2 linked regions of the Danio rerio genome follow. The protein of the gene in region 2 interacts with the protein of the main gene of each other region in a pairwise test. Links are inferred from orthologs where the notes say so. Each region holds a gene or a part of one and is shown on either strand. Other genes may lie near its edges. The genes, in order: zmynd11 and zhx1.

Region 1 (4,282 bases), on a different chromosome or scaffold from region 2:
CTTTATTTATAGGTTGCAGCTATGTTCTGTTATATCATATATTAGGCAGGTCTTGCTGTTTGTTCAGCCTTTTGATTGTTCTAGTGTTGATTTTTCGGTTAGTCTATATGTGTTCATTTAGCACCATCTGCTGGAGTTTCATCTTAAGAGCAATGAGAATTAGCAATAATCAATTGGTAATGCTACCACTACTGATTAAAAAGAAAACATCTATCTATCTGTCTATCTGTCTATCTATCTATCTATCTATCTATCTATCTATCTATCTATCTATCTATCTATCTATCTATCTATCTATCTATCTATCTATCTATCTATCTATCTATCTATCTATCTATCTATCTATCTATCATCTATTATGACTGACCTGTTTAAACAATGAAATTATGGAGAATTGTTGCTTATTATAATTGCTTATTATTATTAATCATAACACATTTTGAAACAAACACACAGGTATGTATTTAAACACATTTATGCATGCATTAAAACAAGTTTTTGCAGTAAAAGCTAATAATGATTTGTAGTACATTTTTATTTTTTAATGCAAATTTTTAAAATGTTTTTTTTAATGCTGATGTTTATCAATCATGAACCAACATTTGTTTGTAAATGTATCCTTGTTGTACAGTAGTTTTACTTTACTATACTAGTTTAGTTTTTGTACTATTTGGTTATAGAAACTGATTTTTTATGTTTTCATTTTTCCTTTACCTTTAAATGTTCAGTAATTTAGTTCATTTAATTTAGGTTCTGTAAGTTTATTTCGTTTTGTTTTAATACTTCAAACTAAATTAAAAGAAAATAAAAATCATTTGACTAAAATAGATTTCAACCATAGTTTTAGTCAAAGTTAAAAAATAACCTTGATTCTAAAAAAAAAAAAACAAATGAATGAAAATTTAAAGAGGTGTGAGCATGTAATTCTTGCCCACATGCCGATTTTAGATTTATATTATGCATGCATTACAGAGATTTATATATATATATATATATATATATATATATATATATATATATATATATATATATATATATATATATATATATATATATATATATATACACACACACATATATATATATATATATATATATATATATATATATATATATATATATATATATATATACAGTATATATATATATATACACACACACACATACAATTACCACATAGACTAAATTATTATCGACTTTAAAATGCAAATAATATTCAAGAAATATGACAGATATACAAACTTATGAATATGAAAAAAGAGCTTCAAGGTGAGACGTGCAGAGTAAAACGCGCAACTCCTGCGCCCTGCCACTAGAGTTCTCCCACAGCCTGTGACTGTGTATGAATGTGTGTATGTGTATGTGTGTGTGTTTACCCCCTCCGAGCTTCAACTGTGGCCGGGCTCCTTCAACCAACCACTATTCTGACATTTAACTCCGGAAACACAAATGTAAGCAGCGCTGCGTTACATCCTAAAGTGAGACGGAACGGCGAGGCGCTTGATCAGCTGTCGGACAGCGGTAAGTACGCGCATAAACCGGGTCGTTTTCATGACATTCGCTGCAAAGAGGAACAAAAAATCCACTCCCAACTGGTTGGTTTTGTCTAGAAGCGAGGGAGGGATATCAACATGGCGTCCATGTAGCTCACCAACCAACCAACAAGAATGTGTAGGCACCGATGAAGGGTTTTCCCTCCATTTGCAATCTGCTGTGCTATTAATCGTGATTTCTAGCAGTTTGCTCTATATGAAGCGCGCGTCAAAAACAGCTTGCGCGTTTCCGATGTCTTGATGTTTATAGTTTAGCGACTCTTCGCCGTTTGTTGTTTCTTTTAGGCACTGCACTGCGTTTAATTGATTATTAATAAGCCATACAGCTGCCAAAGTCATCATGGTTTTTGGATTTACACTATTTCGATCGTTTAATTAACATAATCGGGTTCCTAATGATTTTGCGCCATACATTCCAGCACTCGAGCTGTGAACCACATGAACTGTTGTAGAGGCATCCGTCGGGGTTTTAAAAATCACTGGCAACATTTCTAAACGTTAACAGTGTAAACTAAAGTTATGTCTGTCAAAAACTTCCAATGTTGTTGTAATGTTCGATAAGGAATCGATCGGTTATCCTCCTTTCTGCGCATGTATTTATTGCGCAATAAAACAAACAGGTCTTCTCGGCGACATCAAGCCGCAATCGGTGACTTTAAAGATCTTTACACATTAAAAAAAAATTAATGACATAAATCTCGTGTAAATCCACATGAGATGAATTGTACTGTATACATTAGTCTGCTGCAAAAGCGGTTTAATTCCACATTGAGTGGGTCGCCACTTCATGGATGCTGCCATGTTGATATCACGTGACCAGTCATAAAACTGACAAAGTTGCTAGTAATTATAATCATGTTTAACTACATGTTCAGTAGTGTTATTACAGTGAATTGTTGCGAACCAGCAATACTCATCTTAATAGGATCATATGATGCCAGTGTAACCAAAACAGAGTGAGTTCTACCAAAAACTCACCCATAGGCTGTCCAAGAAGGTTGCCTTTTTCTTCAGTGGAGCATTAAAGCAGAAACGGTGAACCTTGGTGCATGCCTTAACTTTAAGATTACAAAAACATATTTAGGCAATGTCAATGGCTTCTGATGATGCGTAAGGGTCTTATGAAGCAAAACAGGTCTGCACAAGTAACTGAACATTATATTTACATCATAACTTTTAATCCACTGCCTCAATGGAAAGTTTGGACAGTCTTCACACATCCTGGATGTTGCACTTGGGTTACAGATTATCTCAATCAGAAATCTAGATTTTCCCACATTGACTACTGATAATGTGATTATGCGATATGAAGCTCATGCTTTAGAGCACTGCTGTTTGCTGGAGTATGTGAATTTAAGGTTATTACGTTGTACATAATGATTTGTTTCTTTTACAGACAATTTATTTTGCTTAAAAAGACCTCAGAATGTAATGTCAGGAGACAGTTATTAATTTTTTGTGCGTTCATGTTTTTTTTATAATTACTAACTCTAAATGCGCTTGTAACCTTTCGTGTGCATTTTTATTGTTACCAAGGACTATAGTTTGTTATATCCCTTCTAATGTTCTATTTTTGAAAAAGTCACCTAATACTTTGTGACTTTACATTTCTGGATAAACTGTCCTTTTTTCTATTTAATTAACAATTTAATGTTATTACATTAAGTGTCACACTTTTTACATTCTTTACAGGCATATCTTTTATGAAAATAAAAAAACTGTCAAGCCTGACCCCAGGGATTCACAACTGATTATATATATATATATATATATATATATATATATATATATATATATATATATATATATATATATATATATATATATATATATAAATATTATTATTATTATTATTATTTAACATTAGTTGTTCTCACCTTCCTTGACATTCCTGCACTTTCATTAGTAGATTTCAGCATACAGGAGTTGTTTCAGTTGGTCTTCTTAGTAAAAGCCATCTGGCAGATGATTGTAGAAGCTGTAACTTACAGTATGCACAACAGCAATAAATGTGACAGTCATTTTCATCTCTTCTTCATGCCACATGGCACTACAGGCACTTTGTGGAGAGGGTTTTCAGGGTTCAACGCTAAGGATTTTTTTTACTGGCCCGATTGGGCCAGTGGTTCAGATTTTTACTTGCCCTGCCAAAATTTTCACTGGACTCACCAAACAAAAGATGTTAATAGCTATTTCTCAGCCACATACAATATTTTAAATAATGTTTCAAAAGCTAAACATAATTGAGTTTGGGGTCAGTTTTATACACAGGTTTTTAAAAAAAAATTATTCAGTTCATCAAGTTCATTGAATGTTAAAGTTAGACATTTAACGTGCACATTTGCCCGTAGGAATGACATCTTGCCCTGCTTATCATTCTCTCTTCATATAGCCGTATATATGGCTATTACACAATCGTAAGACACTGTCATATAGCCTGGGTCGTTAGTTCATTGGACCGTTTTGCTTTCTCACTACAATTGATCAGCTCAATCAAGCAGAGACCATTTCAGTCAGGCGATCTCGGATCGATTAAATTGGCGCAGATCCAAGTGCGATTGCTGGACTCGCATATGCCAAACAAACCACACTAACCACAGGAAAACGAGACAGATTCCGAAATGAACGTCTTGTGTGTGAAAGCACTCTAAGATTGTATTTGCACGCAACTGACAGACGGTCACAGCCAAACTTTTGTGACAAGGCAGCACTGGCCCAATCCGGCCAGT
Region 2 (4,527 bases):
GAGAGAAGCAGTTGTTTAAATTAGCTTTTTGTCCTGACCAAGAGTCATCAAGATGAATCTTTTGCTGCAAATGCTAAATATTTTTAGAAAAACACTATTTAAACATAATAGTTTTTCCACCGCTACTTTTTTTTCATATTTACCAGCAAACGCATATTAAAAAACAATTTGAAGGGTTTTTGTTATTTTCACTTGTTTGTACCCTGGAATTATTATTAATTGTTAATTAAGTATTAATCATAATGTATTTTATACTTCTAATTCCACTACTTTTTGGACGGGAGTATATTTTATTAAAGTCTCCATGCTTTTAATACAGAGCTTGATTTGTGTGCTGGATTTGTCCATTTCTGCAAAGCTCTCGATCAACATCACATTAAACATCAAAACAGGATCTGAATTTCCAGCATTCATTATGAACAGAGCAATTACTTGCCACTAACAACCTGTCGCTCTGGGTGAGGACAGAGAGCTATTCTGACCAGGACAAAAAATAAATAAATAAATGGCCTTGAGAAGTGAACTTCACCTGTCTCTGTTTCCATGGGAACCACTGCTCCCTCTGTAGGACCGTCTGGCATACTCTCGGCTCCTTCATTCCCTTCCAGGGCCTCCATATCTGGATCTTGCTCTACGACATCTGATGGAAGCACCATGCAGGGTGTCGTGGACTTTCTTCTGCTTGACATTGTGCTTGTGAGTGTGAACAATAAAATATAAGCTGGCCAGAACCTCCGTGAGGTTGAATTTACATGCTAAACATTTGTCCCATTACACGATCTGAGCTCGGCATCCTGAAAGAAAAGCACAAACAACACAGCTGATATATAAATATCAACGTTTACAGACCTATTTAATCACAGACTAGATCAAAATACTGGACAAGGGTTGTAAAACTATTAATAATAAAAGTACTACTGTTTTTATTAAAAATGGTAAAACTGTTCACAGTGGTGTTAAGTAATTAATTACAATCCTCAAATTACTGTAATTGAGTAGTTTTGCTCAACATTTTTAATTTACTAAGTAGTTTTTAAAATGTCTACTTTTAATTTCCCTTGAATTTTTTTTTTTTTTTTTTTTTTTTGCTGTATTGGTACTTTTACTCCACTACTTTCCTTCTACCTGCAGTTACTACTTCATTTCTTTCTTGTCTATGGGGATTTGAAAAATCTCAGTCCTATGGGTCCCGTCCAATCAAATCACACATAGAAGGTAAATCGCATCATAATGAACTACCTCAAGACATGGGCGATTTATAATTGCAGCAAACTGTTTGGAAGCATTAAAAGTGTCCAAAATATTTACACACTTTGACCCAGAGACGCATGTTTAGATGCATGTCACTGATGAGAAGATGACAGATGTTTACTGTATGATGACCGAAATGGCGTCATAACTTTAGATTGACGTTGCATACCAATGTCATAGGGATGCTGCATTTTGTTTGAAAATGAAAATTGGGTTGACATCAGAACTCAACATCAGGCCGGCCTCAATGTCCAACATCTAACCTAAAATCAACAAAATATCAACATCTAATGATGTTACAGCTTGATGTTGTATGGATATTACCACAATAATGTCTATCAGAGGTAGGATTTTGGTTGCCATACCAGATGAAAAAAGTGACATCAGCATTTGACATCAATATGATGTTGGTTAAAGATGTTGGCTCGACATTGATTTTGGTCAATTTCCAACACAACCTAAACTTAACCAAATATCAACGTCATTTGATGTCATTATTGGACATTAAAATAACGTTGCCCTTAGACGATGGCTAGACATTGAATTTTGATCACCTGACATCACAACCTAAATCTAACCTAATATTAACATATGATGTTGTGTGCCTGCTGGGCGATAACTAAATGCACTACAGAATGTTATGTTTACACACATGTAAATGCATCAGCTTTTTACAGCAAAATACTCACTACTCACTATTCTTGAGGACTGTTAAAATGGTTACTTTTTACTCATACTTTGAGTAATATTTACCACAGATTTTAATCTACACGCACTACATTTTCAGGCAAGTAATGGTACTTTTATTTGAGTATGAATTTTCAGTACTCTTTCCACCATTGACGGTTCATTTCTTACAAGGAATCTTGTTTAATGTTAATTCCTATAACACATTTAAGTTAAAAGCTACATGTTAACATTAACTAAATCATTAAAAACATAATGCTAAAGAGTGATTTATTAATGCATTAAGTATTGTTAATATAATGTATTCTGCCTGTAATGTGTCTTTCCTGAACAGTATTTCAGTTGCAGCCAGAAAAATAATAATAAAGTTTAGACAAGTTTGTTCCTTCACAAAATACGACGACTATACAATACAGGTACAGTTGATAATATCATGACAAGAAATTATTACTATATTCAGTACGTTTTTGTATGGCACATGTCAAAATCTAACGGTATTGCTATGGTATGCTGACCAAATCACCTGTGTACCATATTAATGCCATGCTACATGAATTACAGTACTATGATATACATAAAAGTATAACAGAAACATTTAGAGATATCATCCCTATAACAACACATAACATGGTACCCCATGCTTCTAAAATTTTACTATAGTATAATCATATCACCAAGTACAAAAGCAAGGTAATGCATGGTACTTTCTGGTACTTTTTATGAGTGCGTAAGCTTAAAGGGTGTGAAGAAACTCACCGGCCGTGGGTTCAGAGTCAGGTCGCGCCTCTCAGTGCGAAAACCCCCCGATTCAGCAGCAGGAAGAGCGGAGGCGAGACGGACCGAGACCCGCCGCACGTACAGGGGGGAAAACCCTGGATGGACCGGACAGATGCCACGCCGATCGGATGCTCCTCTCCTTGATGTCTCAGCTTGTCTATTAATTGACCGGGCACAGTACACCAGTGTTTTATAGGTCTCTCAATAAACACAATAGTCATCTGCGTTCGTTTTAATGGCAGTTTTTAATGATCATCAGGCGTCACCGCTGTCAGTGTTATACGTAGTGACATCATCGCCAGGCGACTACCCGTTGTCAAATAAAACTGGCGATAAAACAATACTTTTGGACTATATGTGGGTCAAAATACTCACATAAGACTTTGTATGACTGCGATGAATATACTTATTAACTTTAAACGCGACTTTGCGCGAGTAAATCAGCGCACTGATTATAAAAACGTAGAACCTGCGAAGTACTAAGCTGCCCAATCAGAGCTAGCTTGTGGTCACATGACCACCATGCCTCTCTTCAGTAGAATCAAGTGGAATTTTCCTAATGTTTCCTACTAGGCTGATCTACATTTTACCTGAAGCAGAACCGCAATTGATTACAACACCTAACTTTGTGCAGTACTTCGGGCTGAGCAGATTAGATGTTTGTTCCAATACTGAAACTATTTGTACAGCATGAAATCCATGAGACACTGAGAATTGTGATAAAGGCTTTAATACGCACTCAGTATGCACAACACTCAAAAGACATGACTAAAGAATTGGCAAAATATAATTTATAGACCAGTTTCATAAGAAATATACTGTATAGTTTATTAAAAAGGTAAACTAGGAAAACTCTTGGACTTCCTTTGTCATCTCCTGCAAAAGAAAAAATACACAATTAAATTGCAGAAAATACAAGTAATCAAATAAAGCAAATCACTTTAAGACAACTGCATGGTAATCAGTTAAATCATAGGTCTCAAACTCAATTCCTGGAGGACGCAGCTCTGCAGTTTTGCTCCAACCTGATCAAACACAGCTAATCTATTAGTGTCTAGTACAGAGGTTTCCAAACTCGGTCCTGGAGGGCCTGTGTCCTGCATACTTTATTTTCAACCCCAATTAAACACCCCTGAACTGGCTAATTGTGCTTTCTAGGTATACTAAAAACATCCAGGTATGTGTGTTGAATGAAGTTGGAGCTAAACTATGCAGACATTGGCCCTCCAGGTCAGAGTTAGGACACCCCTGGTCTAGTAGTCTTGAACACCTTAAATAGTTTGATCAGCTGTTTGATAAGAACAAAACTGTGCAGAGCTGCGGCCCTCTAGAAATCGAATATGAGACCTATGAGTTAAATGTAAATTAAACCATGTACTTAAAGCAGTATGTGTTTTTAGTAGTGTAACAGATCACACATCTCAGTTTGGATCACATGTTTTTTTTTTAAATCATGGATCAGGATCAGTCAAAAAGGGAGGAGACAAATGTAATTTGCTTTCTGTTAATTACAAAAACAGCATTGCAAGAAACATTTGGTTTTAACAAACAAAACTTACAACCTGTAAATTAATTCAAAATAAAATGAAGAAGTAATCAGCGGAATAAAAAATAGTAAAATATTCAGTGAAGAATTCTAAACTGCTACTGTTTCTGATGACGCTGCATGTATAAATCTAACATAATTTGTACAACTCATATTTCATTTTAGTCTCATTTTCAATAAATGATTCAGTTACTCACTCATCAAACGTCATAGTTTAATGCTAGATGCGTCATTTTTGAAGAATTATTCAGTGCATATTTTTTGAC

What was found.
Region 1: the proteins of zhx1 (region 2) and zmynd11 interact in a two-hybrid assay, tested with the Homo sapiens proteins (2 studies listed by BioGRID and IntAct). The link is inferred for Danio rerio from reciprocal best matches to the Homo sapiens genes ZHX1 and ZMYND11.

What each region holds. Positions count from the first base shown.
Region 1 is NC_133199.1:31,320,172-31,324,453, reverse strand, and holds the start of zmynd11 (zinc finger MYND domain-containing protein 11), read left to right. Parts: upstream 1-1,371; 5' UTR 1,372-1,521; intron 1,522-4,282. UniProt on the Homo sapiens protein: Chromatin reader that specifically recognizes and binds histone H3.3 trimethylated at 'Lys-36' (H3.3K36me3) and regulates RNA polymerase II elongation. Does not bind other histone H3 subtypes (H3.1 or H3.2).
Region 2 is NC_133191.1:47,767,668-47,772,194, forward strand, and holds the start of zhx1 (zinc fingers and homeoboxes protein 1), read right to left. Parts: upstream 2,973-4,527; 5' UTR 2,695-2,972; intron 795-2,694; 5' UTR 690-794; coding exon 530-689; intron 1-529. Other genes in the region: atad2 (ATPase family AAA domain-containing protein 2), read right to left, coding at 3,559-3,591. UniProt on the Homo sapiens protein: Acts as a transcriptional repressor. Increases DNMT3B-mediated repressive transcriptional activity when DNMT3B is tethered to DNA. May link molecule between DNMT3B and other co-repressor proteins.